Yarrowia lipolytica: one gene and its partners. The protein of the gene in region 3 interacts with the protein of the main gene of each other region in a pairwise test. Links are inferred from orthologs where the notes say so. Each region holds a gene or a part of one and is shown on either strand. Other genes may lie near its edges. The genes, in order: YALI1_A03356g, YALI1_D27762g and YALI1_E39676g.

Evidence for each region.
Region 1: the proteins of YALI1_E39676g (region 3) and YALI1_A03356g interact in binary tests that used the Saccharomyces cerevisiae proteins (3 or more experiments, as listed by UniProt). The link is inferred for Yarrowia lipolytica from reciprocal best matches to the Saccharomyces cerevisiae genes GET3 and GEF1.
Region 2: the proteins of YALI1_E39676g (region 3) and YALI1_D27762g interact in binary tests that used the Saccharomyces cerevisiae proteins (3 or more experiments, as listed by UniProt). The link is inferred for Yarrowia lipolytica from reciprocal best matches to the Saccharomyces cerevisiae genes GET3 and SEC22.

What each region holds. Positions count from the first base shown.
Region 1 is NC_090770.1:327,311-338,377, forward strand, and holds YALI1_A03356g (uncharacterized protein), read left to right. Parts: upstream 1-8,362; coding exon 8,363-10,567; downstream 10,568-11,067. Other genes in the region: YALI1_A03278g (mitochondrial 54S ribosomal protein mL41), read left to right, coding at 551-976; YALI1_A03289g (uncharacterized protein), read right to left, coding at 1,619-1,631, 1,686-1,868, 1,912-1,937; YALI1_A03300g (uncharacterized protein), read left to right, coding at 2,738-4,357; YALI1_A03322g (uncharacterized protein), read left to right, coding at 4,940-5,617; YALI1_A03351g (uncharacterized protein), read right to left, coding at 7,189-7,836. UniProt on the Saccharomyces cerevisiae protein: Anion/proton exchange transporter involved in iron and copper cation homeostasis. Involved in intracellular iron metabolism during growth on fermentable and non fermentable carbon sources.
Region 2 is NC_090773.1:2,772,696-2,782,458, reverse strand, and holds YALI1_D27762g (uncharacterized protein), read left to right. Parts: upstream 1-6,310; coding exon 6,311-6,952; downstream 6,953-9,763. Other genes in the region: YALI1_D27826g (uncharacterized protein), read left to right, coding at 1-221; YALI1_D27808g (uncharacterized protein), read left to right, coding at 1,703-3,763; YALI1_D27780g (uncharacterized protein), read left to right, coding at 4,488-5,672; YALI1_D27765g (uncharacterized protein), read right to left, coding at 5,688-5,850, 5,898-5,992; YALI1_D27748g (uncharacterized protein), read left to right, coding at 7,733-8,518; YALI1_D27718g (uncharacterized protein), read left to right, coding at 9,724-9,763. UniProt on the Saccharomyces cerevisiae protein: Nonessential SNARE involved in targeting and fusion of ER-derived transport vesicles with the Golgi complex as well as Golgi-derived retrograde transport vesicles with the ER.
Region 3 is NC_090774.1:3,963,366-3,973,315, forward strand, and holds YALI1_E39676g (uncharacterized protein), read right to left. Parts: upstream 4,244-9,950; coding exon 3,260-4,243; downstream 1-3,259. Other genes in the region: YALI1_E39656g (uncharacterized protein), read right to left, coding at 1-2,234; YALI1_E39693g (uncharacterized protein), read left to right, coding at 5,987-6,178, 6,947-9,769. UniProt on the Saccharomyces cerevisiae protein: ATPase required for the post-translational delivery of tail-anchored (TA) proteins to the endoplasmic reticulum. Recognizes and selectively binds the transmembrane domain of TA proteins in the cytosol.

The DNA of each region.
Region 1 (11,067 bases), on a different chromosome or scaffold from region 3:
AATTTGGGAAGGCAGATATTTCCACTACACCACCGCCCGAATGGTGGGGTCCCAGAGTTGTATCGACTATAAGACAGTGGAAATGATCAAATATCCGGCGAAAAAGGCTAGAAAAAAGAGATAAAAACTGTGTAAAGGGGTAAAATCAGTAATATACAGTACTATGTAAAGAATTATTCATAGTTTTTTTGTCTCCAATGAATCATCTCAGCCTCCAACTGGAATACTCAACAAGGAATAAACATCTCTAAAATTGATACCAAAATAACCACAAAAAATGTGACATTTCAATGAACAAATTCCCATCACGCATTTTCTTCAAAAATTCGACCCTTGATCTCCTTCTCCGCTCCCGCCATTTCATCTTTTCAATTTCCCTTATCTCCTATCTCCGATACGAGAACCTTATTTGCTTCCATCCTTCAAGCTTATTAATCATCTCCCAGCAAGCTTATTTTGTCCCGTCACGTGAGAGTGAAATTTTACGGTTCCCAAATCATCACCGCGACATCAAAAACCATTCAACACACAACACAAACATCTCCACACAATGAGACCCTCGTTTGTGACCCAGCTGCTGCGACCATGGAAGAAGGACCGTTCCGGGTACATGTTCAACCTGTTCTACGGTGTGTCGAAAAACGGTAACAAGCGACTGCCCCTTACCTCCAAGCAGGGTAACAAGAACTTCTACAAGGGCCATGGAGCCGGTGGAGTCGGTAAGACCACTTCCAAGGGTCGATTCATTATCAACCGAGACAAGGTCCGAACTTTTGTCGTTCCTGCCGGTCTGGAGGCTTGTGAGCTCAAGCCGTTTGTGTCCCCCACCCTGGAGCCCATCAAGAACTCTTTCCGAGGCTTCTCGGGTCCCCTCGACCCCAAGCTCACCGTCAAGAAGGTGAACGAGTATGTCAAGTCCGGCCCTGTTGCCGAGGAGGATGCCCCCGATCGAAAGAACTGGATCGATCGAGAGTAAGAGACGTGTCGGTACGTGACACACAAACCTGAAGGATGAGCGACTGGACACGAGTCGAAACCAGAGGAGGCGAAAATTGTATATATTGAGCATGATTCATGATGATTGAGAACGGTGGGAGTTAGTAGTTGATGTAGGTCGGTGTAGTGATAGTCAACGTGACGGTGGTGGTAAGTATTAGATGGTGTACTTAGGAGTAGAGTGGTTTGTTTCATCGAACTTATTCCAAAAGACAGAACTTGTTGTATGTGTACATTTGTCTTTCAATCGCTTGTTTTCTACATCTAGAGTCTGGTTTTGTTTTTCGAGAAATTGGCTAAAAACTGAAATACTGTCCAGTTCCACGCAGAATAGATACAATACAGTTGGATTTGATTTATTATATTTTTCGAACGTCGAATCTTCAATTCGATGGGGCACCACACACTTCTGTTCATAGGCCAATTGTAGCTGATCCACAGGCCCCATTCGGCTGAGCACTAAGCCCATGTGTTGCGATCTAGAGTGACACTATACATTATGATCCATGTTCATGTCACGTGCGGCGGAAAGCGAAAGCGCGAAACCTGCTAACAATGTCGCTCCACACGTGTCTCGATAACTCGATAACTGGTCCTTGTCATCGTATTTGTTGCACCTCTCTTAGGCGTAGTACCTGGGTTAGCTCATTCTCGCTTCTCACTCACCCTTCGTCTCCTCTCGTACTCACAGTTCCAGGTTTGATCCGTTGTGGATCTCGTAGTCATCCAGAGTGATATGGTCCTTGAAGGTCTGGTATCCCTTCTTGAGCACAATCTTCTCGGGAGCAGTTCCGATCTGGGCTGCCAGCAGCTTCTTGAAGTCGCCAATAGTGTCTTCAGGTAGACACTTGACCCGCACCTTCTTGCCCACACTGTGTTAGACATGTTGGTAGATCAGGAAAAATAGATACTCACCGATCGTTGCAAGTGATTTCAATCATTTCTGGGTTCCTGAATGTTGGATGGGAATATTTGCAACTTCTCTGATGTCCATGCACGGAGATAGTCCAGTATAGTTAAGCTTTTAAATTCGTTAATATGTTTTTATGGAGTGTTAGGGGGGTGTCAAGTAGAGGGTCATTAGATCCCCTTGAAGTACGAGTACTGTGCTCGTGGTTGTATCATTAAAATGCACTTTTCGACACAAAACAGTCTTTTCCGGCTATATTCCGACTTTTCCCGCCATTTCTGGCTTCCCATAAAATGCTTTCTATCGGATCATATTCAGCCAACTCGATGCTCCAAACTTTGTAAAACTATCTCAGTATGTACAGTACACTACATACAACAATATACACTAGGCAAGCCACCTCCCCATATCACATCATTGATACCATTGCATACCATTCGCACCACTCATACCACTGAGCATTCCACGTGATCATCTCATGAACAGCAAGTTTGCCACGGTCTCATCGATACACTGAACACCAGCCCTTCTGATACCTCCACCACCAGCCGGCACTTGTGGAGACACAAACCCGGACCCACCTCACGTCGCGCGCCAGAATGAGTCTGTTTGTTCTTGCTCTCATTTACTGCGTTACGTTTATTCTCCTCTGTTTCTGGTGTTTCTGGTGATCTCCAGCGTTCACCTGCCACCTTTTTGTCCTCACCTGACAAGATATACCCATCCCGCACACAATACCAAAACACAGTCTGGCAGCTACAACAATACCTCTTCTTTTCAACAACACTTTCAGTGCTCTTCACTGGGTGGAGAAGGATACGCCGAGGATATATGATACCCACCAACAATCGGCTTCGACCAGGCATGGGGAAAAACATCATTCTCTGCCTGGATGGCACGTCCAACAGTTTCGGAGCAGGTCCCGAAACCAACGTCCTCAAGCTGTTCCGCATGCTCGAAAAGGACTCACCCAACCAATTGGTTTATTACCAGCCCGGAATCGGAACCCACATCACCGTCGACCTGCCCAAAACCATCTGGTCAGCAGCATACTCATACGCAGAAAAAATTGTCGACATTGGAATAGCCTGGTCCCTTGATGCACACATTATTGCCGCCTACATGTTCTTGATGAAACACCATTGCCATGGCGACCGGATATACCTGTACGGCTTCTCAAGAGGTGCCTTCACCGCTCGAATCCTCGCAGGTATGCTGGACCGAGTCGGATTATTGTCTCCAGGCCAGAACGAACTGGTACCTTGCGCGTGGGAAATCTACAAGACGTGGGAAGCAGCTGGTCAGCCTATGGAAGACAAGACGTCCAACCTGGCATGCTCTTTCAAGTCGACATTCAGTGTCCCTTCTGTGTGCGTCTACTTCATGGGTTTGTGGGACTCCATCAACAGCAGTGGCATTATTCTGGACCGCTCGTTCCCCTACACCTCTTCGGCGGGTATCGTTCACCACATTCGACATGCTGTCGGCATTGATGAACGACGAGCCAAGTTTAAACAGAACCTCTTTGTCCCTCATTGCTACAACCCAACACTTTTTGGTCCTTCCGGCATATTTGCCGAGCGTCAGAGCCCTGAACTGACTCCTGAGGCAAGCCCACAGACCAGTATTGTTTCCAGTGTCCGCGTCAGCCCTGTTGAGAGTCGGCAGCATACACCCAAAGGATCGATGGTCATACTGAGACACCCTACTTCTCCTGTCCCTATCAGTGCGAGCACACCGGTTCTTGCAAGTGGGTCATCAATTCGAACCACGGCTTCAGGACGTCGATTTCCTTGCAGCAGCCGTTCAGAACTGTCCCACATGTTCCGTGCTCACTCTGAACAATCTCATATGATTGGGACACAGAAAACACGCCATAGACCGGAGCGATCAGGAGATCTCGTGGAGTTGTGGTTCCCAGGTGACCATGGTGACGTAGGGGGAGGATGGTTACCTCGAGGGTCACCACATTTGCTCTCTGACATTCCTCTGGCGTGGATTCTCTCCGAGAGCGTCAAGTTTAAGGTGATCTTTAAGGAGGGAGTGATTGACGAATTTCGAAACAACCATGATCCCGAAGAGTGTCTTATTGCACCCATGCACGACTCTCTAAATCTCTTTCGACGTCAGGGAGAAAACGGTCGTGGAGAAGATCCTTGGTGGAGACCGTGGTTCTGGTGGTTTCTTGAAACCATGCCGGTCGCTTACCGGGTTGAGAACGAGGAAGAGAAATGGACAAGGGTTGCAGTTCCCAATTACGGTCGGGCACGGACCATTCCTATGGGTGCCAAATTTCATTGGAGTGTGGCTTGGAGAATGAGGTTGGTTGACGGATATCGTCCGTTTGATCGTTCAGAGGATGATGACGGTTCCAGTGTGACTGGCGGTGGAAGTAGCAGTGACGAATACGGTGCTATTCCCGATGACTTTGACTGTCATGATGGTTGCTAGGATGTAGTTTTATATCCTGTAGTATTTATATTTCTTGTGTCAATTTACTTGTACTGGGTACTGTGTCAAAGTCCCCCGTAAGAATCGAACCCCCGACCGTTGGGACGCGATTAAGGTTGTCGCTTTGTATGGGGTCGGAACAAAGCAGGCAGCAATGCACTGTGAAATCAGCCAACCAAAAGCGAAACGATAATGCGGCCGAGGGAGTGCATTCAATTCGGTCAATTCGACAAACAGGAGACATCTGGCCGGTTTGATGGGATAATTGGCCGATTATTCTCGATTAAGTAAGCAAACTCGTCGAGATTTGTGCATTTTTGGCCTTGTTTGGCAACTCGTCATTTTGCCAATCCATACACCGACTGCAGCTTTAGAGATGGCCTTACCTCCCAATGGCTTTTGGAGTTCTCCCAATGGTCAAACAAATTAAGGTTTTCAGGGTAGGGGCTCGGGTGGACCAATCACAGTGGCGAAATATGCGCTGCGAGGGAGTTTTTGCAAAAGCTAACATTTGCACGTAAGGTCCCAAGTCAAGCACACACCACACTTCAACCTCTCTTGACACTCACCCTCGACTGAACAATGAGCCTGCTTCGAACCGCCGCCCAGGCCGTCAAGGCCCCCAAGGCCTACACTCCTCTTGTGGCCGCAAAGGCCTTTGCTCAGACCCGATCTGTCTCTTCACAGCCCATTGGTGGCAAGTCCACATACAAGATCCCCGACTTCACTCCTTACCTCAAGAAGGACCGAAACACAGATGCCAACCGTCTCTTCTCCTACTTCATGATTGGATCGTTTGGCATGCTCTCCGCTGCCGGCGCCAAGGCCACCGTCCAGGACTTCCTTTCCAACATGTCTGCTTCCGCTGACGTTCTGGCCATGGCCAAGGTCGAGGTCAAGCTCGGTGCCATTCCCCTCGGTAAGAACGTCATCATCAAGTGGCGAGGAAAGCCCATTTTCATCCGACACCGAACCTCCGAAGAGATTGAAGAGGCCAACGAGGTCAACGTTGCTACCCTGCGAGACCCCCAGACTGACGACGAGCGAGTGCAGAAGCCCGAGTGGCTGGTCATGATCGGAGTCTGCACCCATCTGGGTTGTGTGCCCATTGGTGAGGCTGGAGACTTTGGCGGCTGGTTCTGCCCCTGCCACGGATCCCATTACGACATTTCCGGCCGAATCCGACGAGGCCCCGCTCCTCTCAACCTCGAGATTCCCGAGTACGACTTTGCTGACGCCGAGACTCTGGTCATTGGTTAAGGGATATAAAAGTGCATGCACGAGAGTGTAATAAATTTATAATCGAACGACTGACAGGCCAGTGCGATCCACGAGTCTGGCCGGTGACACGAGCACCATGTAGATAACACGACGACAAATGACGGTGACAAGAGCATGGGCGGAGTTTGACTGATGGAGGATGTAGATCTGGATTTCCGCTGGGATGTCAGTATGAAATGCTGAAATTCTACCGAGTGTCCTCGTTATCGTGTGGTATCTGCTATATCTGCAAAGGCCATGCTGGTGTGTTGTGGTTATCGTGTGTGGAGTGTAGATGTTGGGTTTCGCTGTTACCATGTGAATGTGGTAGAGGGATCGCTGATAAAAGTATATAAGGGGATGCTAAGTTGCACAATCGTCCATCTCATTTTCTTCACATTATCGAGATTCCGTCTCTACCACCATGACCGCCATCGCCACCATCTTAAAGTCCCATTCCTGACATCACCCATGACCTGCTGATTCAGAGTTGCGTCTCAAGAACCATTGGTCACTGGGAGGTTGTCTGACCAAATAAAGTTGCGGAACAACACAACATGGGAGGAAAAACACGAGAGGAGCTGAGCGGGACGTCGTTCGAGAGGACAGGAGCGTTGACTTATCTGTTTGGAACGGTTGTGAATGTTGTCTGCATCGCAGTTTTAGTCTTCCAGTCCAGTGTCTTTCTCAATGACGTCATCGTCTCGTCCATCCGGCTGCAAACATAGGGGGTAATCCATGTTCGGCTATCAAGATTAGGACGTTGGGCTTGTCACATTAGAAGCAACTTAATTTGACTGGGAAATGGAGTGACAAAATAAAATGAAGTTAGAGGAGGCAGTTGGAGAGCTGGAGATGGAGCAATGAGGTGAGACCGAAAGACGAAAGACGGAAGAAAAAAAGAAAAAAACAGAATGACGAAATGAGAAGAAAAGTTATATTTCCAATCTTTCTTGAATTGATTCTTGGCGGTAATCGTCGTAAATTCATCGCTCTCATCGGTTGCCTCACATTACACACTCTGAATGGGTTCACTATGTTCAGTCAATGAACCCCAACTGAGTAAGTGCAGACTTTGAAGATGCTTGCAACGGCTTCCTCCAGTTCTTTGAACCAACCGCGGAAGGAAGATGTTCTTCGTGCGTTTACAGTACTTGTACTTTTCAGCACCTCTCTAAAAGTACATCATACTGTTTTTTGTTTTTTTCTGCATCCAAACGTCCAATAGGCCTAAGTAATTACATAGTTTACTTGGAATCAGACCAACTAAAAAAACTCCATTTACTTCACCAGAAACAAGACTGGCTGGAAGAGAAGTATCGTATATTGTGAAGACAGCAAGACTCACTTGAAAACCGATGCTTGTGAGAACAGGCAAAACGCGAGTAATAACATGTACGTACCGTAAAAACATCCCTGATACCTCGCACGGTTCCATCACGTTCACACCCAACGCACCAAAACACCTACACTTGCACCCATCTACATCCCCATATCAAATGCCAATATTAATGTATATATACCGGGTTCCCATTCCATCCTTTTACGTGCGAGTGAACACCTCTACACCCCTAATCAATCTCAATGGCCACAGCAGAGCCCTCCACAGAGTCCTCAGGAACAGGGGTGCTGGTGGCTGTGCTTGCTCTCACCGGCGTAGAAGTTCCAGTGCCGGCATTGGATCCTGCCGATGCCCCGGCGCCGCTGGGCTTGAAGAAGTTGGTTAGCGAAATGTTGCCTGTAGGCTCCTTGGGCACCTGGACCCCTCGAGACTGAAGTGATCGCGCAGGAATGGTTCTGGGGATGATGTCCTGCAGAAACTCGAGCTTGGGGTTCTTAGCTATCGCCTCGGCCACGTCCTTGTACGCCAACGTCTTTCGCTGGTCCATTCGAGCCATGAGACCAGCCTGTTCCGACAGGTACCGCACAAAGTCCTGGGTGGCCGCGTTGATGGCGGCATAGGCGGCCACAGACACGAGCGACACGTCATCGTCCTGGTTGACGATTCGCTTGGTTCTTGCTAGAGGCAGCTTGATGTTTGGAGTCTTGTCGGCGGCAGTTGTTGGTGTTTCTGTGGACGCTCCGGATTCTTTGATTTGCGCGTTGTTTTCTTCTTCCTGGGCCTCGTGAGTGTCCACGGTCTCCTCCACGGTCTCCTCCACGGTCTCCTCCACGGTCTCCACCTCCTCGCTATCTCTCATTTCCACGTCCTGGCTCATCTTCGTAATGTTCGTATTAGTTGGAACTGATGCGTTTGGCTTTATGGCTGATCGTGCTGCATGACGTGTTGGCGTAGGTAATCACGTACAGTTGGGAATCGAAATTGATTTTCCAAATGTCTTCAATAGGTGGGAGATCTAATATCTATATATATTCGGGAAACGTGTTTGTGTAACTTGTATCTGCCCCAGCACACGACCAATGTCGTGATTTCTCAATCTGCAAATATATAAACAGCTCCATTATTCCCACTTTTATTTTTGTTCTACTTTACACTCTTACTTGCAGTCTCACTCAATCTCTACGTTTCAGCCACCACATCAAAGTTCATGCATAGACAACTATCAATCTACAAGTTCGACTATCACGGCCAAAATGACCAGAAGGTGAGTACCATGCGCACAAAACGGCTCACCCGACTCAAGCTAACATAGACGTTCGGTGAACATCTCGGACGTGACGGAGGTCAGAAGATATGAGGACTTCTCGACCATCGACTGGGTAGATGTGGCTGCCAGAGAAAACATGCTGCGATGCCTGACGATTGAAAAGTTCCGACCGGCGTCCCGAGTCGCAGCAGGGTCAAGCGACACCCGAGGACGAATTCGACACAAGCTCTATGAGGTCTACACGGCAGCTCAATCATGGCTGGTACTGGCCCTCATCGGTATGGCTATCGGAGCTATAGCAGCCGTGCTCAACATTTCGACCGAGTGGCTCGCCGACCTCAAAACGGGCTACTGCTCTACAGGATTCTATCTGAATGAAGACTTTTGCTGCTGGGGCACCGAGGGAGACCACTGTCCGGCATGGCAGTCCTGGACTGGCTTTGGACTGCTCAATTACTTTGTCTATGTGGGATTTGCTGCCGGATTTGCCGCCCTGGCGGCCTTCCTCGTCAAGACCTACGCACCTTACGCTGCTGGCTCAGGCATTTCAGAAATCAAGTGCATTGTTGCTGGTTTCGTCATGCAGGGTTTTCTAGGCCCCTGGACCTTGCTGCTCAAGTCAATTGGCCTTCCTCTGGCCATTGCGTCTGGTCTGTCCGTCGGAAAAGAGGGGCCCAGTGTCCACTACGCCGTTTGTGCCGGCCACGTGATTGCCTCGCTCTTTGGACGGTACCGAAACTCCAAATCGAAAATGAGAGAAATATACTCGGCCTGTACGGCTGCAGGTGTGGCTGTGGCGTTTGGCTCGCCTATTGGAGGCGTGCTATTCTCTCTCGAAGAAATCACCAGCAACTTCCAGATGAAAACCATGTGGCGATCGTACTTTTGTGCTCTGGTAGCCACAGGTGTGCTGGCAGCGTTCAACCCCTTCCGAACTGGCCAGCTCGTCATGTTCCAGGTCAAGTACGACCGGGACTGGCACTTTTTCGAAATCTTCTTCTTCTCCATCATTGGAGTCTTTGGAGGTATGTACGGAATCTTTGTCAGCAAATGGAACCTGAGAGTCCAGTCGTTCCGAAAGCGATACCTCGGCAAGTACGCAGTCAAGGAAGCTACTCTCTTAGCGTCCCTGACCGCTCTAATCTGCTACTCCAACGAGTTTTTGCGCCTTGATATGACTGCTGCTATGGAAAACCTGTTCCACGAATGTGAGAATGGATGGGAGAAGTACCACGATCTCTGCCAGCCCGACCGACAGGGTTTGACCATGCTGCTATCTCTCCTGGCTGCCTGCGTCATCCGAACATTCCTGGTTATTATCTCATACGGCTGCAAGGTGCCTGCTGGTATCTTTGTGCCCTCCATGGCCGTTGGAGCTACCTTTGGACGACTGATTGGAAACATTGTACAGTACTGGCAGCAGGCACGGCCCGACTCTATCATTTTCAGCCAATGTGTCGTTGACCAGCCTTGCATCACTCCTGGCGCGTACGCCTTCCTTGGTGCTGCCGCTGCATTGTCTGGAATCACCAACATTTTCGTGACCGTCGTGGTCATCATGTTTGAGCTCACTGGTGCGTTGACATACATTCTGCCTACCATGATTGTTGTTGGAATCACCAAGGCTATCTCTGATCGGTTTGGCAAGGGAGGTATCGCTGACCAGATGATTTGGTTCAACGGCTTCCCATTCATTGACAATAAGGAGGAGCATGCCTTCAACGCACCCGTCTCAAAGGCAATGCAGAAAAATGCCGTCTACTTCACCTACGACAGCATCACTCTCAAGGAGGTCGAGACTCTGCTCGAATCGAACCCCTTCCAGGGCTACCCGGTGGTTGAATCCAGCAAGGAGGACCCTCCCATGCTAGTGGGATACATTGCCAAGGAGGAGATTGTTCGGTTGATTGCAAAGTTCAAGGCTCTGAACCGCGACATTCATTCATCGGAGCTCGGACAGGTCCAATGCTACTTTGGAGAGATTCCCGAGTCTGCTAGACAGTCATCGCAAGCATTCATCGACATGAGACCAAGTATCAACACATGCCCGCTGACAGTGGCACCACTAGCTCCGCTTGAAAACGTGACGTCAATCTTCCTGCAGATGGGCCCTAAGGTGGTGTTGGTAGTCAAGGAAGGACGTTTGGTGGGTCTTATCTCCCGAAAGGATGTGCTCAAATATCAATTCATCACTGAACGACAACACAATCACCACACTCGACTGCAAACACAACAGTACAATGAGCAGCTCGAAGAACGAGTATGGAAGCTGCTCAATCAGGCAGGAGACTACATTAACCACGGTCTCGCAAAGATCAAGGGATACGTCCTGAGGAGGTAATTAGAGCGAACTTCCACACAAAATTTAATGACGATATGATGACGTATAGACAGAATGGATAAGTACAAGGAAGAACTTGTACTCGTAACTTGTAGCTAAATTGAAACAAAAGGGACTATCTATGTACATACTCTACGTAGGATGGAAACTACGTGACAGTTTCTACAAATACAAGGGAGGGGGTATCACAATACAAATGGAGAGGCGTAACGTCGAACAGGGAGAAGCATTCAAACATGAAACAAGTCGCTAAAGATTCGTTTGGCTGTCAAAAAGTCGCTCTGTTTTCTTCGGTGTTGCGCTCATGGACTGAAAGGAAAAAGACATGTGACAAGGCGGGGATCTCGGAGGCCTCTCGTGGTTTGTGTTCTCGTAAATCTTGCTTGCTCGCAAAAGGTCGCAATCTACTGGGTCGCTCCAGCAGGGGTCGGCTGCTCGTCGGGTAAAAATCATTGGTGATACATTTTTGGGCGTAAACTATTTCATCGTAAGAAAAGGAG
Region 2 (9,763 bases), on a different chromosome or scaffold from region 3:
AGTCTTACTTCATCTCCGGTGGTTTCGCTACCGTTCAGCCCGACTCCGAGCTGTCCGTCAACTCCATTGAGGCTTTCCAGGCTGAGGACTTCTCCCCCGAGGCCATCAAGTCTCTGACCGCCGAGGCCCAGAAGAACGCCCAGTCTGCTGACGAGGCTGTTGCTGCTGAGGCCGAGATTGAGCTCGAGGTTCTTGAGGCTCTTGCCCACTTTGCCAAATAAGTTATGACATGATGAATCTGTAGACATAAAAGCGGCAACTTCCGTAACGTGTAATGACACCTGACGACTGTTTTTCGATTGAGACTGTATGGGGAGCTGTAGAGTGGTAGCATGGGTGTTCTAATAAATTGGAAAACGCCGCTGTAACCGGCTCTCTCAGGGCTATTTGTATCTCACTCCTCAACATGTCCGTTTTTATCGGCTCATCGTCGGCAACTGGGAGGTAAATTTGATTAACTTTTGGTCAGTCGGAAGGGAAATGTAAGGTGGTTGAGAAGGGGTTACAAAGTCGTGGAAACGTCGTGGAAAAGAGCCATGGTTTCATATATACCGTGGTATGACTGTCATGATCTCGTATATTAATTTTCATCTTACCACGACAAGTAATGGGTCGGTTGTGATCTGCTTTTTTTGAACCTAAACAAACTGCTCAACTAGTTTCCCTTTAGTACAAGTACAAGTACTTGCATTTGACGTCTACTTATGCATCTTGTTTGGCGTGTGTATATGATCCGAATCTGACAGCAGTGATTTTTGACGGGGAAAAGCAATCGATAACATGGCACCAAGAACAATAACTCTGGCTTCCCTTCTTTTCCCCCATTCTAATCGGTTCTATGACCGCGGAACGCCCAACACTGCCAGTTGACAACGCTATGAGCTGAAAACTCACGAGAGCTGAATCAGGTATTGTGCACTACTTGTGCTTTGGTATTATAGCACTAATGGACGACAGAATGACGCAATAGTTACCCGACTACAGCCCCAAGGTGGACATGGCTTGCCACTATGCCAGCCTCCATTGTACTCTCCACCATACTAAACAATGATGTATGGGTCTACAAGTGCAAGGGTGGGAGAGTGGAAGCTCTAATATGGAGCAAAAGGACCAAGTAGGAATCATATGAAGCGTCTTAACAATGCACATGGATCCTTTTTAGTCCTTTTGCTAATTCTGGTGTTGTTTTGGGGTCGTTTCCGCACTCGTAACACATTCAGGGGTCTCGTCTCTAGATGATATATGGATTGGCTAAAATTTTGCACAGCTCACAAACTTCTCTCCACTCGTGTTTATTCCCTATCTCCATAAATCCTTTCTTTTTGCCTATACTCTCTATTCCTTACATAGATTAGTGAGCAGGAGAGAATGTTTGTCCGACGCCAATGATGATGTTGGAGACGTAGAGTAACCGTCAAAAGACCATAGCGGTGAGTAGAGAAGACCAACAGTTCAGTAGACAAAAAAACCGCCCTTGAATTGTCACTTTTGGCGCTTCCTGCCCACATTGTCCCCCACAATTTCCCCCCCTACTTACCTCTTCCAAGTTGACATCCCCAGAACAGCATAAACTGCAGTTTGGTCGAGTAGTCCAAAATTTATGGTCGGTACTGGTGAGGGAGAGTCCTAACTGTCAAGATGGTACATAAACCCGAGTGTTTTCCGAGTGGAGGATTCCCAAAATTTCCCTTTCGAGTCTACCATGTCTTCCGTCTCTTCCGAATGCCAGGGCCTGTCCTCCATTTCCGAAGCCTCTTTTTCCGAGGCCTCTTCCTCCAAGCCCGTCTATGTCTCCACCGCTTGCGGTTCTGACGATCCCATTACTGCCGACGACCTCTTTGGCGAGCCCCAGTCTGTCCCGATCTCTCCAAGTGAGTTGTTTATGAGCAGCTCTTCTAACCAAAGTCCTAACAACGACTTTGAAGAAGAGGCACCCAAAAGCTCCACCTCTCGATATGCTCTCCCAGACGAGTCTCCTAATGGCTATCAGACCCAGTCGACCTTCAACTCGTTTGTGAACCTGTTTCGCCTCAAGAAGGATCCGCCGACAACTCTGCCACTGGCGTCTCTGACAAGTACGAGGGGTCATAGGATGGACACTCCAAGTCCAACGCCTCCAGAGGTAGCCAGACTGAGAGCCGTGCCCCACTCATCGACTTACTCGTCTGAGTCGTCGCTCAACTCATCAACAACCCGGATCTCATCCTCCAGGTCCTCCGATGACGCCTCCACAGTCGATGGAAAGACCACACGCGCTACCCAGACGGACCAGATCTACGCGGGAGACTCGGGAATCATTCTCTCGACTTCCATAACATCTTCCCAGAGCTCTCAAGAACACTTTCGAGAACGATGTCGACGGTCTAACTGTGTCACATATATTGTCCAGTGGGACACAGAGAACGACCCCAGGTACCCATTCAACTGGCCCAACTACAAAAAGTACCTGGTTGTTGCTTCCCAGGCCCTATCTGCTATTGGCCCGCAAATGTGCAGCTCCATGTACGGACCAGCCGTTGCAAAGATCGAAGAGATGTTTGGAGTCGGTAAAGATGTCGCCATGCTCAGTACCACCGTCTACATGATGGGTATTGCTGTTGGGCCCATGTTCTGCGCGCCCATGACCGAGTCATTTGGCCGGAAGATTGGCGTCTTCTGGCCCTTCTTCGTCTCGCTCATCTTCACCTTTCTGACCGTCTCCGTCACCTCCTTCCCCACCTTTATGGTACTGCGATTCCTCTCTGGAGCTCTGTCTTCGCCTCCCATCCTGTCGTCCGGAGGAGCTCTCAAGGATATGTTCAAGCCCGAGCGACGGCCGTACGTGTTGCTTCTGTACGCCATTATTGTCGCTGGCGGCCCAGCCATGGGTCCCATTCTCGGCTCTCAGGTCATCAAGTGGACCGGCGACTTCAGACACTTGTCGCTCGTGGCCGGTATCTACCAACTCATCATTTGCACCTCCAACCTCATCTTCATGCCCGAGACTTACGCCCCTGTGATTCTGCAAAAGATTGTGCGGAACTTCAGTCTGGATGCCGGCGGACTGAGAAACCTGGTGACAGAACGAGACCTCGGAGGCCATGCCCGTGGTTTCTCAGTCAAGAACCTGTTGAGACCCTACCAAATCATGCTCACCCCGGTCATGCTGCCGCTGCAGATGTACGCCGCCATGATGTTCGGACTCATGTACATGGCCATCTCGCTGGTGCCCAACGCAGTCGTCAAGGAACACAACTGGACCCGAGACCGAGCGGCCTGGATCAACCTCAACTTCATTGCCGGCCTCATATGCGCCTCTGGAGGTATCGTCTGGTCAATCTGGTACTTCAACCGGATGCTCAAGAAGCACGGAGGAAGCAATAAGGAGCCCGAAAAGCGGCTCCTGATCATGCTGCCGGGGTCCCTGTTCCCTCCTATTGGATGCTTTCTGTGTTACTTCTTCTTTGACAAGACCTGGGCAATTTCGGTCGTGCTGCTTCTGTTCCTCGGTATCGGATTCTTCACCATTTTCCAGTCCACCCTCAACTACGTTGTTGACATCCACTCGGAGTACTCGGCCTCAGCTGTGTCTGCTCTGACGTTTCTGCGGTCCATTTTCGCCGGCGTCTTGCCATTTATCGGCATGGCGGCCATCGAGCGGGTCTCTTTTGCCAAGCTGTGTTTCATTCTGGGCTTCATCACGACCGCAATGTGCGCTGTGCCGTGGTTCATTTTCAAATGGGGGCCTGGCCTGCGAGCGAGATCTGCTTTTGTTGACGTTTAGTGTCCAGCTAAGTAGATGTCAAGTGTAAGACGAAGACTGGTCAGAAAGAGACAGACGTTCTAACAAAACCCAACAAAAAACAACAAACATTAATCAACTGTGAAAATCCGCATAGAAACCAGCATAATCAACATAAAACATATAGCCCCAAATCAAATCAAATAGAATACTACTAGTAATACACTGTGAATTGTATTCTGGCTTGTAATATTACAAGAGAGAATAAATATACACCACTACGGTGTATATCAGTGAAGCAACATGTCTGAATAACTACGAGTAGTAGCACTGGTGGCTTGCATGGTGCTTGGATATCTAGATGGCCCTACGACACCAATTGTGCTTCCAGAGGACCGAAACTCCGGAAATCAATTGCAAAGAATCCTATAAACATTGTGCAAAAATCTGATGAAAAAAAAGTTCCTCTAAGCTGGTCGGTCCTCATCCCTCTTTCTCACCCCACGCCATCTGCATGCAGAGTAAATAGTGCAGAACCTCCGAAACACATCACACCATTCATCTCGCTCAATATTCCACCGATACGAATAAAAATTACACCATTAGAATTCTCAGAGATCCACCATGACATTGATACCCCCATACAAGTCATTACTCTGTTAATCACCCCCACACAGTCCGTCGTCTCTCGCAACTCTATCCCCATCTAACTCTTGACATCTCTTCATCTCCTAGCACCTTCCGAAGGCTTCAGCACCACCACACCATGAAGCGTGCTTTCGGTAGATTGAGCCCCCCTCTGCGTCATCTGACACAACCCCGCACCATGGCCACCACCGCGCGAACCACCACGCCTCTCAATCTCCAGATCGGCTGTTTGCAGCTCAAGCCCGAGATCGGGGAAGTCGACAAGAACATGGGAGTGGCCAACGAGCTCATCGACCGGTACTACGCCACTGCCAAGAAGGACGATAAGACCCCCAAGATTGATATCTTGATGCTCCCCGAAATGTCATTCACAGGTTACAACTTCGAGAGCCCCGAGAACCTCAAGCCATTCCGAGAAGAAACGGAGTCGTCCAAGTCGATCGAATGGGCTAGAGAGTGCGCCAAGAAGATCGACGGCCACGTGCTGGTCGGATACCCCGAGTTTAGCCCTCAAGACGATGCGACCTACAACTCTGTGTCCATGGTGTCTCCCAAGGGTGATATCCTCTTCACCTACCGAAAGTCGTTCCTGTACACCGCCGACGAGGCAATGGGCATGAGCGAGTCTCCCGACGGCTTCCAGACATACGGACCCTTCCCTTCTCTGTCTCAGGACATCCCTCTCAAGTTCCAGGTGGGAATTTGCATGGATATCAACCCCTACAAGTTTGAGTCTGCTCCTTCGGAGTACGAGTTTGGCAATTCAGTCAAGAAGAACAAGGTGCCTCTGGTGCTGCTCCCAATGGCCTGGACTCACTCCAAGTCTCCCTCCCTAGTGCCTGTCAAGTCCTCCGACAAGATCCCTATGACTGAGGAGCAGGAGAAGACCCACAGCGAGCTCCGAAACGCCATTGTGCATAAGTGCACCATGCTGCACGGCAAGTCCACCTTTGATGGACTCATCACCGAGCCCAAGGAGATCCCCAAGTACAAGAACGAGGATCTGGCCACTTTCCACGACTACACTGCCGATGTCGACAACAAACTGCCTTTGGTGGACACCCTGCAGTACTGGATCGAGCGTCTGCAGCCCGTGTGGAACCAGAACACGGACGTGGACTTCCCGGTGACCATGGTGACTGCCAACAGAGTTGGATTCGAGCAGGGAGACGTCCTGTACGCTGGCTCGTCCATGTGCGCGGTTATGGATCCTCTTCAGCAGAAGATTTTTCTGCGGGGAGCTCTCTCAGCCGCTGATGAGGGTCTCATGGTGTTCAATGTTGATTTGAGCGTTCCCAACTAACAGCCTTAATGACTGTCAGTGAGTGAGATGTGTGTTCAGGATGTGTTGCAACAACACACCATCTATGTATATATGATATTTTTTTGTTTCAAAGACGTGTAGCCGGGTGGCTTGGCTCTTTGCATATATTTTCTCCTCTTTTCCAGCAGTTTTTATTCTGAATCGACTTTTGACGTTGCTCAAAGAGCTAACATTCCTCAGAGGAATTCACATTCATACTGTGACTCAACTCTATACAAGCTACTGGAAACTAAAGAGATGATGTCGAAAAAACCTGTTGAAAGTGGATTTACGACATATAGGAGAATTGATATGGTCATCTAGACACTCTATAAGCCCTTCAATCCAACAGAAACTCACTCACACACACTCTCTCTCTCTCCGAGGTCAATAGGCCAATATGACAGGTGACGAGCTAAAAACGCAACAGTCGCGAATATTGCTGCGATCGAAAAACAAACAACACCATTCGACTCACCAAAACCGCGCGAGAATTTCCATATCGACAATTGTTTCCTTGCTAGCTGCCCAGATACACGTATTATCCCACCACCGGTTTGCCCCACCAACCTAAATCCTAACACGTACGCATCAGCAGCAGTACACGCTAGACTCAACCACATCACTATACACACAAAATGGTGCTCTCTACTCTGATTATGCGGGCCTCGGATGGCCTGCCTCTGTCGGCCAGCGTGGATGACGGCCAGGAGAACCTCAGCGAGCAGAAGAAGCAGTGCAAGCTCGTGACCCAGAAGCTGTCTGCCAACTCGGCCGACCGAGCCTCGATTGAAAGTGGCAACTACGTGATCCACTATCTGATGAAGGACGGAATCGTTTACTACTGCATCTCCGAGTCTTCGTACCCCCGCAAACTCGCCTTCAGCTACCTAGACGAGCTGGATCGGGAGTTCCAAAAGTCCCATGGCCAGGAGGCTCTCAAGGAGGGGGTGCGACCCTACAAGTTTGTGGAGTTCGACACGTTCATGCAGAAGACCAAGCGGGTGTACCAGGACACTCGAGCAACCCACAACCTCGACAAGCTCAACACGGAGCTGCAGGACGTGACTCGAGTCATGACCAAGAACATTGAGGATCTGCTGCACCGAGGCCACTCGCTGGATCACATGAGCGATCTTAGCAGCAACCTGCGGACCGAGAGCAAAAAGTACCGACGGGCTGCCCAGCGGATCAATTGGGAGGCCATGATCCGACAGTACATTCCCTTCATTGGAGTGGGTCTCATTGGTCTGTTTATGCTGTGGTGGATGCTCTTTTAAACAGGGGGACGCAGATGAGTCAATCATTTGGAAGATGGATGCCATCGACGACAGCCACGCCCGGGCTGAGAAGCTGTACTGAGGCTGTCTCAGCTCGCTGTGAACGGCTCGCTGAACGGGATATTGCTGGAGAAGCTGGATTTATACGATAGTAATATATTGATTGGGTGAGTTGCTACTGGAATGATTGGGAAAGCAGTACATACTATTAACCTGAAAGCAGTACATACTATTAACCTGTCCTTGCATGTCTCAAGAGTACTGGAGCTAGTTAGCTTCTGTTTTTTTAGAAGTATACCAAGGCTTGAAAAGCGCGAGTGTCGCTCGAATGTACTGTGTGAGTACAGAAGCTGCAAGATACAATGATTGGCGTGTATCAACTTGTTTGATTCTGTAATCCTTCCACTATTATCAAGGTCTTTTCATTACTAACCAAGTACAGTATATACATTGCAATTACTGTATCGTACCTCTACTGTAACCCATCTTACTTCCATATAGCCACTTGCTCAAACTCGTTGATTTTTCTGCCGATCGCGTTCAATGTCAATATATCATCTCTTCAAGGGATATATTACCATCCGTCACGCAATCTCTCCACTCCATTCAACGGACTCCTTGGTATGCCCGCTGTCTTAATTAACTCACACCAAATACCCCAACCCCAACTCGAACACACGCCTTCCTGATTTCAAACCCTAATGTGAAATTTGAGTGTGTGGTGCTCAGCGAGGTTCTCACACATACCACAACTTTTTTCACACATTTACACGACTAAAGATGCTAGCAGTCAGCCGAGCCAGCGGATTCCGAGCAGCCCGAGTGGTTCCTGTCCACGTGACCCGACAGCAGGTACGACACAACTCCGGCGGCCTCAACTCTCTGTGGTCGTGGTTCAAGCGAAAGGACGCTTCCAAGAAGGAGGCGGCCCCTCCCGTCATCAAGACCAAGGATCTGGTCAAGAACATTGAGCAGCAGAGCAAGGCTGGCTGGGAGTCTACTGCGGCCACCGAGCAGAAGACCGAGTCCAAGGAGGAGCCCAAGTCTTTTGCTTCCGAGACCGCGGTTGATCTGGAGGTGATCGGCATGCCTGCCGAACAGCTTCCCCTAAGCTCCGAGAAGCTTGCCGAGATTGGTCTGGGCAAGTTCCAGCTCAAGCAGGCCGAAATCAAGCCCGAGGCTGCCCTTGAGGCTCTCAAGACCGTGTCTGCAGCTGTTGTTGGCGGAATGGAGGGTGCTCTTGACACTCTGGAGAAGCGTCTGGAGCTGGTCAAGCAGTTCCAGAAGGAATCTGGTATCCGAATCCCCGATCTCATCATCTCTACCGTTGCTACTCCTCAGGGCGTTGCCTCCTACCTCGAAAAGTCGCTCACCTCCAACTTCAACTACTGGGAGCCCAACGCCATTTACCTGGACGCCAAGGACTTTGAGGGCTCCAACGTGACTGTGGTGGATGCCCAGCAGCTCCGAAAGCAGCGACAGCAGGCCATGGACGATCTGGTTTCTGAGGCCGAGCAGTTTGTCGAGCAGCATGATAAGGAGACTTTCAAGAAGGCTCTGGAGTAAGAAGCGAATATCAGTGGGACACATAACATCATTCGCGTCGCCCATGATGTTGTTGGAGGGTACACTAAATGGATGGTGCTATCACCTACAGACTGAGTTATTTGAAGGAACGGTATCATAGGACACATCAGCCTGCTGATGGGAAAAGGACGAAGGATCACGCGGGATCGCAAGATGTCCACGGACAGCTGTAAATAGTGAAATTAAAATGTATATATTGACTGTTGGTACAAACACCACTCGAAGACTTGTAATGATATCAGAGATCTCCAGATACAAGTTCTTGCACCAAGGCATGGCATGCGATAAGGAATGGGATAAGAACTGGGAAAGAGCGTATGAAGAACACTATATATGATGGAGACTATACCGAGGCAACTAAAAATGACCACTTCTGGTTTGAAGCATGGAAAAGCTGCCTCGATACTTGAATGGCTCGTGGTTGGACAAGTCCTCTGAGACGGAGAATTCCAAAGAGATCTTTCCACTCTTTACCCTGCCAAAAGTGAGGATCCAGAAGTCCAGTTAGTCTATCAATAGGTTGGAATCTCTGTTGTGACCTCCTCGTAATGTCTCGATGGTCGGTGTGAACACCGTCGTCAAAGATCTCCAGGAGACAGAGAAACAAGTGCGATTCCTGGGAAACTGTGGAATGTGTAGAGTCAAGTATGAGTACTGCCGTAGAGACACATAGATGCAGAATCTATGTAGATGTTCTCACGGAGATATCTTTGGACTCAGCCGTAGTTCCCTACTGTAGAGCATGTTGAGGGCACTTGAGACGACACGATACATATTGCGATGTCGGAACGAAAGAGTTGCAACGATATACAGTAGTTGGAACGAAACGAAGAATATAGAGATTCAAAAGAACGGTATATAGAGGCTCAAAAAACCGATATATAGCTAGTAATATAATTAAAATCACATAATCACACTGTTTTTCCCCCTAGACTGGTTTACTCTTTCGAAACAGACAGAAATGACCATTCTCTCTCCCTTAAGCCCTTCTCTCTTCTCTAAGCCCTTCTCTCTTCTCTAAGCCATTTCTCTCTTCTCTAAGCCCATTCTCTCTTCTCTAAGCCATTCAATCTCCTCTAAGCCATTCAATCTCCTTAACAATACTCCTGACTAAAACCTCCACTTTTAATTGGCATCTACTGGCCTGTCCTGGACCTACCACAATTGCAACATTTACGACGCAAATGTTGAAGAGATATACGAGAATTACAGATTCGACTGAAC
Region 3 (9,950 bases):
AAGTCGTAGTAGTAGCCGAGCTCCTCAGCGATTCGCTGGCCGAGATCTCGGTTACCCATAATGACACGCTGGGTGTCGGACTCGAGGAAACCAATCACGTCAACCTCAAGCTCCTCAATGACGTTCCGCATTCGCACCTCGGAGGCCCACATGTCGTTATCGAGACCAAAGTGGACAGTCCAGATACCAGCCGTCATGAGCTTCTCCTCGGGGTGGTAAGGAACAGGGGCAGGCTGGTCGAATCGCTTGTAGCCGACAGCAACGGTGGCAGTGGCAATGAAGATGATAGCTAGCATAACGTGGGCTCGGATCTTCTTCAGCAGAGAAGCGTCTGTGGAAGCGTTGGACTTGGTGTTGTTCTTGGTGTTGCTGATCTTGGACTGGGCAAGTACACCGAGACCAATGGAGAGCTGCTGGGCAATGAGAACGTAGTCGGTTCGTTCTCGGAGAGCAGGTCCTCCGGGAACAAAGGCATAGGCAACGATCCAGACATGGGCCAGGTACAGCAGCGTGGTTACGAGCATGGCGAGACCCCAGGTACCGGAGTTGTATCGGCCGAGGTTCTCAAGGAAAGCGGGAGCCACTGCACACAGGTAGACGGTCAGGGTGAGACCTCCAGCGTACCCGATCCATCCGTGGAAACTGTACAGGATAGTTGTTCCGACGCAAGAAGCCAGGAAGGGGATCCAGCCATTGGCAAGCTTCTTTGTTCCGAGCCAGACACCGAGGCACATGGCCAGGATGGTGACAACTCCGTACGGAACGGGAACGGGACCCTTAACGGGGTAGCCGTCCCATACCCAGAGAATGATGGTTGAGGTATCGGAGAGTAGAGAGTGCAGGGCGAAGATGATACCACCGACACCGAAAGCGGCGCCAATGGAGGTCTCTGAGGGATGGACGGGAACCTGGGCAGAGTTCTTCTGGGGCTTGGACACCAGGAGGGCAGCCGCGACGCCCACGATGACACCGGCGGTATTCCAGCCTCCGTTAGCCTCGTGCATGATGGGCCAGATGGGGTTGTTGGTCCAGTGGGCAAACTTGAGAAGAGAGGTGATGATCAGACCCAGGATGAAGGCAGATCCCTTGTAGGTGCCGAGCAGAGGTCGAGAGGCAGAGTTGGCAAAGGTGTTAGCCATGGCGATGCAGCAGAAACCAGCGCCGAAGCCAACAGCCTCGAGTCGAGGGATAGGACCGGGAATCCACCACGCAGCAATTCCGGTGACACCGAGCAGCAGGGGCAGCTGGGGGACGAGGTTGAAGAACTTTCGGAGGGGAGAAATGTAGAGGATGACGGGTGCGCAGATGGAAACCAGTAGAGCCTCGTAGCCGGAGATGCCCATGAACCACAGGGGGAAGTACCAGATAAGCAGGGGCAGGGCGGTGAGCACAGACCAGAAAATGGTAGCGTTGGCAACGTCGATTGAGAATCGGAAGAAGTTGAAGCCAGCGGTGGCCAGGACCTTCTTGGGCTCGGTCACGGCGGTGACTCCCTTGGCATCGATAACCTTAAGCTCCAGAGCAGAGAAGTCAAGAACGGTGACGGCGTCAAACATCACGTCGAAGATGACGAGGGCCCACTCCAGGAAGGCGTAGGTGGTGTAGGCACCGGCAATATGGTGGACCTTGTGCTGGATGAAGAAGTAGATGAGGGGGGGGATTGATCCGAAGAAGCAGGTAGCGACGATCTTTCTCCACTTTCGAGCATTGGCGTCTCGAGTGCAAAGAGTGCATCCCACGGTCCAGGGGATGGTCAGAACCATGTAGGAGATCATGAAGATGTCGTGCCAGTCGTGGTCGTCGGTGGAGGTGACATAGGTCCAACCGCCACAAGTAAGGGTTCGCATCAGACCGGAGATGAGGATCATCATGGAGAGACGGGGTCGGTGAGCGACAGTCAGCAGGAACCAGAGAATGACAAGGGCAAATCGAGGGCCAGAAGTGATGGCAATGAAGACCTGGAACACAGATCGCTCGGGGTATCGGTCACCAATGGCCGCTGAAACACTGGGGAACCACTCGTCGGGGTAGCCAAAGTGCTCGTTCTGGACAATCTTCTTGTAGTGCAGAGCGCAGCCGATGATGAGGGCTCCCAGAAATGCAGACATGGCGACAATGGTGTGGGCCCAGCCAACATACTTGCCGTTGACGCTGAGCAGAGAAGTGCCCGGCTTGTTGAGGGCGTCCGACTTGGTGGTCGGCGTGGTGCCTTTCCAGTTCTTTTCTTTCGACATGATTGAGGGATGGAGAGCGTCAGACACTGCAAAAGTTGGCTAAACTCTACAGGTAGCTACATGGTGATATAGGGTTGACGTGGAGAAGTTAAGTGGTGGTGAGTTACGGTGCAAACGTGTATGTGGAGAGGTGTGGGGAGGTTCGTTTCAGGGTTGTGGGCTCGTTTCGTGTATGTGAGCTCGTATCGAGCCATTCTTTTATTCTGTTTGAAATTTCACTCGTTTATTCTCTGGTTGGCCCTCTCTTGGAAGTATCGAGCCACTACCTGACGCGTCTCAAGGTTGTTACACGTAGCAGTTGGCAGGATCACGCATGGAGAGTAATCTTAGGATTGAGGAAAGGTATGTGATTAGGAGTAAAAGTTTTGACTGCGCTGTAGTCATGAGAGCTGTCAGAATTGATTCGAGTAACTACTTCTTCGCTAGCAGAATTCTCTACCACTCTATATGACACACTCCGATCTCACCTCGGCTCATTCACATTCACACCCTGCATGAATCTGAACTCTGAAGTGTCTATTAATGGAGCAAAGGGGTGTGTGTACAAGTAGGGGATTAGTAAATGTGATATTTGGGGATTTGACAAGTAGTATACGAATCTGAACGCTTCGTGAGTGGTTCGGGTATGTCTCCGGCTTCTCTGGCTCGTTTTCATCCGATTTCAGACAGTGATATGTTGTGTTCAAGATATCCCACCAACCCCACCAAAATTCTATTCTGCACGTTAAACGACATGGGCATTGAATACTCGTTAAATTCACGCCGGAAATAACATGAGGTTCTTTTATGTGCAACGCCACAAAAACCCGATCGACGACAGTCACGTGACCATCCTCCGTATACACACGCCTCCACCTCCACCACCCCCCTTGTAACAGTACATACGCGTACTTGTACTCTTAATCCACGTGACACACCTCAGAGGTTACAATGCAAGCCCAATCTGTAAATCTTTATTAATCTACCACTACTTACAGTAATTACACCACCAGTGGAACTATGACATTCCCTCAATTCCTCACGCTCTAGTTCTCGATATGCTGGTAAGGGTGAACAAGCAGGTTGCTGAACTTCTCAAGGGCCTGGACTCCTCGAACCTCCTGGGTCTGCTGAGGAAGTCGCACAATGTGGAAGTCCTCGTACAGATCGAGAATCTGCTCCAGGTACTTCTGCTGCATCTTGTATCGAGAGGAGCAGAGCTCGCAGTCGTCTCCCTTCTTGGGGTACAGCAGCTGGTTGACGACAATGTTGTGGGTGTCAATGTCAAAAGAGGTCAGGTCCTGGACCATTCGCTCTGTCTCGTACAGAGACAGGAACTCGGGAATGCAAACACACACAAAGGTGGTGAGGTCGGGGTTCTTGAACTGGGTGTTGACCTCAGAGATGGTGGCTCGGGTCTCGTTGAGCTTTGCGAACATGTCGTCAGCAGAGGGACCCCCCTGGCCTCCCATCAGAGAGCCAAGCATGGGGCCAAATCGGCCGGAAAGCTCGGAGATCTTGCCCAGAGCCTTCTCCAGAACGGTGGGGAAGGTCAGGAATCGCAGAGTGTGGCCGGTGGGAGCAGTATCGAAGATGATGACGGAGTAGGATGTGCTCTTGACCTGCTTGAGGACCTCGGCAAAGGACATGGCCTCGTCAACACCGGGGATAGAGAAGGCAATGTCCTGCATCATGTTAGTCATGCCGGCTCCAGCGCCTCCTGCGCTCTGGGCCTGCTCGATCATCTCCTGAATGGACCCACTGGGGTCAATCTCCATGCAGTGCAGGTTGTCGATACCATTCACAGGTCGGGCGTCCTTGCCGAACTTCTGGCCAAAGGCGTCAGAAAGGTTGTGTGCGGGATCAGTGGAGATGAGCAGAACGGACTCTCGGTTCTTGGCCAGCTGGATGGCAAGGGAACAGGAGGTGGTGGTCTTACCAACACCTCCCTTACCACCGACAAAGATCCATCGGAGAGAGTCCTGGTCAATGATGTTCTGGAGAGAGGGGGCGGGGGAGTCTTCGTCCATTGTGTGTTTTTTTAGATACTTGGACTAGGGGTTGTTGAAGTACAAGTAGTTGGGGGGCAACAAGATCTAAAACTATCACGTCCCAGACAGACAGGCTCGCTGTATGTCAAGGGTTAGGGTAATATGCTTTCAGACACGAGTTTCGAATGTGATCGTACATGATGGAAGTGTGCTATTCAGAGCCTCAGAGCCGAAGAGAGTTTCTATCGAAGCACAGACAGCTGTTAACTGAAATCGGGTAATAAGGAGTCGAAAATAGTGTGTTTGAAATGTTGAATTTCTGACATCTGGGGTAAATAACAATAATAACAACCGGAAATACTGTTGACTAATGACGGTAAGTTTTTTGGAGAAATTGTTTCCGAGGGGATAACGTCCGTTTGAGGGATATTTTCGGATCTCCTACAAGTACTTGGTCCAGTTGTGCAGTGCTCATTTAAAATACGAACAAAATTACTGCCGTTATCTCCGCTGCAGTATGTACTCGTAGTAACGCTATAAAAAACTTATAGCAACGTACTGTAGTGTGAAAATAGCAGGGGGACAGGTCAATTGCTCCCCCCCCGTAGAATATGTAGCTAATGCCACCGTCTACTTGTGGCTAAAAGATCGTTGGGTGTAGTTTGTCGTCAACTGGTCCCCCCGCATCTTTCCGAAATTCTATCCTCAAAGCTATCTTGCATGTACGTGTCATCTGTCCACGGGTGATCATAGTTCTCTTCTAACGAGTCTGTCTCAAAATCACGTATTACTCTCTTCGCACTATAGCAAACCTCGGAATAGCAACTACAGGATGGGATACAGATTTCACCGTAGAAGAGTCCCAAAAACCCGACGATACTCCACCTAACCGCCCCCCCTTACAGCCTGGACGAGTTTTAATATTCCCTTTTAGCTGTAGCCAAGCCTCTGGTTGGGGCATAGACTGCATAGTTCCGAACTTCTCCGCATCACGTGACCAGAAACTCCCACATCTCAACTTACATATCTTACATTGTCCTTACTGGTCGGGCCAAAGAGAACACCGCTGCGCTTCCATGCTGCGTGCCGTTACATCCCATGATACAAAGCCGTGCTGCAATACACTTGTACAAGATAATCCTTCGCCGCACAATTGCATTGCACAACTGTGGGGTAGCACCTGGTAACACAATCCACACCGTGGGCGTTATCTTTCCCATCGCACACGCGTTGGTACTCTTCCTAAACCACCTGAAATACACAAAGCTGGCCAATGGCTATCTCCGCAACTTGCTCTATAGTATAGTTATGGGCGCAACCTTGTTACCATGTTTGAAGGAGACACACTGCCATTGCATAACAGGGAGTGAAGCAAAGTCGGCGGAAACCGTCGGAATATCGCCAAGTGGGGCTCGGGAGAAGGCTAGAGGGGTCAGTTAGACAGCTATGCCCTCACAGCGCTCAACGGGTCTGGTCCGGAAAATTCTGCAGAGTTATCCCGGGTGCTGGCCGCTGGAAAAATAGAGTTTCACAAGAAACTGTAAAACTGGGGCCGGTTCTTCCGGTTTATATAAATATTTGACGCTCTCCACAACTTACCCCATAACGAGTTAACGTGAGTAGTACAATGGGTGTACTTACGGTCGAAACGATACCTGCGGAGACGGCCAATTACGACATTTGTGGCCGCTGGAGTGGAATTGATGGAAAAAATCGCTTGCGATTCGTTTGTTTCGATTTGAGAGGGTCTGGAACCCATGATTAAATCCCGCTAACAAATAGATGCTCAGACACGCTTTATTGAAAAGGACCCCCGTCCTCCCGCGACTCACAAGTCGCAAGGCCTTCGTGCCATTGATCCAGAAACGAAAGTACTCTGATGACGTCTTCCTTACCACCAACGCCGCAAACTACATCGATGAGATGTATGCCGCATGGAAGGACGACCCCAAGAGTGTCCACGTCTCTTGGCAGGTGAGTGATAGTGGAGGAATCGGAAGCTGATGGCTTGTACTACGACTTGTGATGGTTATTTTTGGTTGTTTTGGTGGACATTCGACACTTGGCGTGTGAAGTGATGGAGTTGGGCCCAAGGTCATGGAGGCAAGTGGCTTATTTGCAACCGAACTGTATCACGGATACAGTGAGAGTGTACAGATAAGTCGTTTTGTTGACACGACACCTACGAATGGTTGACCCCTTCCTCCTTGCTCCAGAATGCACTAGCTAGCACAATTGAGAGACCTGCTGTTGCATTTTTCTGCGCCTGCCTGTAGCAATTTGTATGTCTCTCGATTGGCTCAGTACCTCTGCATCTCTGCACACTAGACCTGCCCTTCGTTTGCGGTTGCCACCACTAGACTCAGGGTGTCTTCCCGCATTGGGAGTTACGGGTTGAGCCGGAGCATGGAAAAACGTGCATGCAGGACGCAGAATTGTTGGTCGGAACGGACTAACAGGTGTATGCGCCGAGAGAGATCCCGGCGTGTGTGATTAGTAAAGGTTCTGGACGTGTTTTTGACATACCCCACCTGACTATTCCTCAATTGTCCATTCCTGGGCTTTTTGGATTTTAGTTTCATTACTTTTTGCACATGCTTGGTGTTTATCTCTAACTCCTGCCCCAGCAAGTCCCAACTGCACCTTAATTTAGGCCTCCCTGACTTAACTAAATCCCAACTAAACCTACCCAGCAAATGTATCAACCAGAAGCACGGCCGCAATTGACCTATACTAACTCAGTCTTACTTCAAGAACCTGGATGGTGGCCTTCCTGCCGACAAGGCATTCTCTGCCCCTCCCACTATTGTGCCCTCTCCCTCTGGAGGTGTTCCCACCCCCGCTGCCCCCTCCGGCGCTCCTTCTGACATCACCAACCACATGAAGGCCCAGCTGCTGGTTCGAGCCTACCAGGTCCGAGGTCACACCAAGGCCAAGATTGATCCTCTTGGAATCTCCTTTGGCTCCGACAAGAACAAGAAGCCCCCTAAGGAGCTGACCCTCGAGTTCTACGGATGGACCGACAAGGATCTCGACACCGAGATCACTCTCGGCCCCGGTATCCTCCCCCGATTCGTCGAGAACGGTAAGAACAGGCGAACTCTCCGTGAGATTATCATGGACTGTGAACGAATCTACTGTGGCTCCTACGGTGTTGAGTACATCCATATTCCCTCTCGAGAGGAGTGTGAGTGGATCCGAGACCGAGTCGAGACCCCCAAGCCTTACAACTACACCCCTGACCAGAAGCGACGAATGCTCGACCGACTTATCTGGGCTAACCTCTTCGAGACCTTCCTTGCCTCCAAGTTCCCCAACGACAAGCGATTCGGTCTTGAGGGTGCCGAGACTGTCGTTGTCGGTATGAAGACTCTGATCGACCGATCCGTCGATGCCGGAATCGAGGACATTGTTATCGGTATGCCCCATCGAGGTCGACTCAACATGCTTTCCAACGTTGTGCGAAAGCCCAACGAGTCCATTTTCGCTGAGTTCCAGGGATCTGCTGTCTTCGACGAGGGTTCTGGAGATGTCAAGTACCATCTGGGTGCCAACTACCAGCGACCCACCCCCTCTGGAAAGAAGGTCAACCTCTCTCTTGTCGCTAACCCCTCACATCTTGAGGCTGAGGACCCCGTTGTCCTGGGTAAGACCCGAGCTATCCAGCACATGAAGCATGACGTCGGCACCTTCGACAAGGCCATGGGTGTGCTCATGCACGGTGACGCTGCCTTTGCCGGCCAGGGTGTTGTCTACGAGACCATGGGCATGCACTCTCTGCCTGCCTACTCTACCGGTGGAACCATCCACATCATCGTTAACAACCAGATTGGTTTCACCACCGATCCTCGATTCTCCCGATCTACCCCCTACCCCTCCGATCTGGCTAAATCCATCGATGCCCCCATCTTCCACGTCAACGCTGACGATATGGAGGCCGTCGACTTCATCTTCAACCTGGCTGCTGACTGGCGAGCTACCTTCAAGTCCGATGTCATCATCGATCTTGTCTGCTACCGAAAGTTCGGTCACAACGAGACCGATCAGCCCTCGTTCACTCAGCCTCTCATGTACAAGAAGATTGCCGACAAGCCCAACCCTCTTGACATCTATGTCGACAAGCTTCTCAAGGAGAAGACTTTTACCAAGGAGGACATTGAGGAGCACAAGCAGTGGGTCTGGGGAATGCTCGAGGAGTCTTTCAAGAAGTCCAAGGACTACGTGCCCCATCAGAAGGAGTGGCTCGCTTCTCCTTGGGACGACTTCAAGACCCCCAAGGAGCTTGCCACCGAGATCCTGCCCCATCTCCCCACATCTGTTGAGGAGAAGAAGCTCAAGGAGATTGGAAAGGTCATCTCCTCTGTTCCGGAGGGATTCACCCTTCACCGAAACCTCAAGCGAATCTTGTCCAACCGAGGCAAGTCCGTTGAGGAGGGCCATGGCATTGACTGGTCCACTGGTGAGGCTCTTGCCTTCGGTACTCTGCTTGAGGAGGGCCACCACGTCCGACTTTCCGGTCAGGATGTCGAGCGAGGTACCTTCTCTCAGCGACACGCTGTTGTCCACGACCAGGTTAACGAGACCACATATGTTCCTCTGAACCACCTGACCAAGGATCAGGCCGACTTCACCGTCTCCAACTCCCATCTTTCCGAGTACGGTGTCATGGGCTTTGAGTACGGTTACTCCCTGGCTTCTCCTGAGGCCCTTGTCATCTGGGAGGCTCAGTTTGGTGACTTCGCCAACACTGCCCAGGTCATCATTGATCAGTTCATTGCCTCCGCCGAGACCAAGTGGTCTCAGCGATCCGGCTTGGTTCTGTCTCTGCCCCACGGATACGATGGACAGGGTCCCGAGCATTCTTCCGGACGAATTGAGCGATACCTGCTGCTCGGAAACGAGGATCCTCTCCACTTCCCCTCTCCCGATAAGCTTGAGCGACAGCACCAGGACTGCAACATCCAGATTGCTTACCCCACTACCCCCGCCAACATCTTCCATCTGTACCGACGACAGATGCACCGAGCTTTCCGAAAGCCTCTGGCCTGCTTCTTCTCTAAGAACCTGCTGCGAAACCCCATGGCCAAGTCCGACCTCTCTGAGTTTGTTGGTGAGTCTCACTTCCAGTGGGTCATTGAGGACGACCAGCATGGCAAGACCATCAACAACAAGGAGGGCATCGAGCGAGTTCTCTTCTGTTCCGGCCAGGTCTGGACTGCTCTCTTCAAGCGACGAGAGGATCTTGCTGACAAGAAGACTGCTATCATCCGAATCGAGCAGCTGCACCCCTTCCCTTGGGAGCAGGTCCGAGAGCTTCTGGACTCTTACCCCAACCTTAAGGATATCTGCTGGGCTCAGGAGGAGCCTCTTAACGCTGGTGCCTGGGTCCACATCCAGCCTCGAATGTACACCACCTTCCAGGCTACCAAGAACCACAAGCATGCCCACATTAGATACGCTGGCCGAAAGCCTTCTGCATCTGTTGCTGCCGGTACTAAGAAGCTGCATCTTGCTGAGGAGGAGGCTCTTCTGAAGCAGGCTTTCCAGCAGGAGGATAAGGCCTAAGTGGTCTGTTCACCCTTATGAATGTCATTTAATTGTATATGAAACGCTTGTTGAAGTGTATGAACTGAGAACAAAAAGTATGTATTATTGTAGCGAGTGACTTCGGTGTATTCAGCCCATTTTGTAACGGAACAGAGGAGATATATTGTACAATAAATGTGAAATATAGGACTGGAGAGAC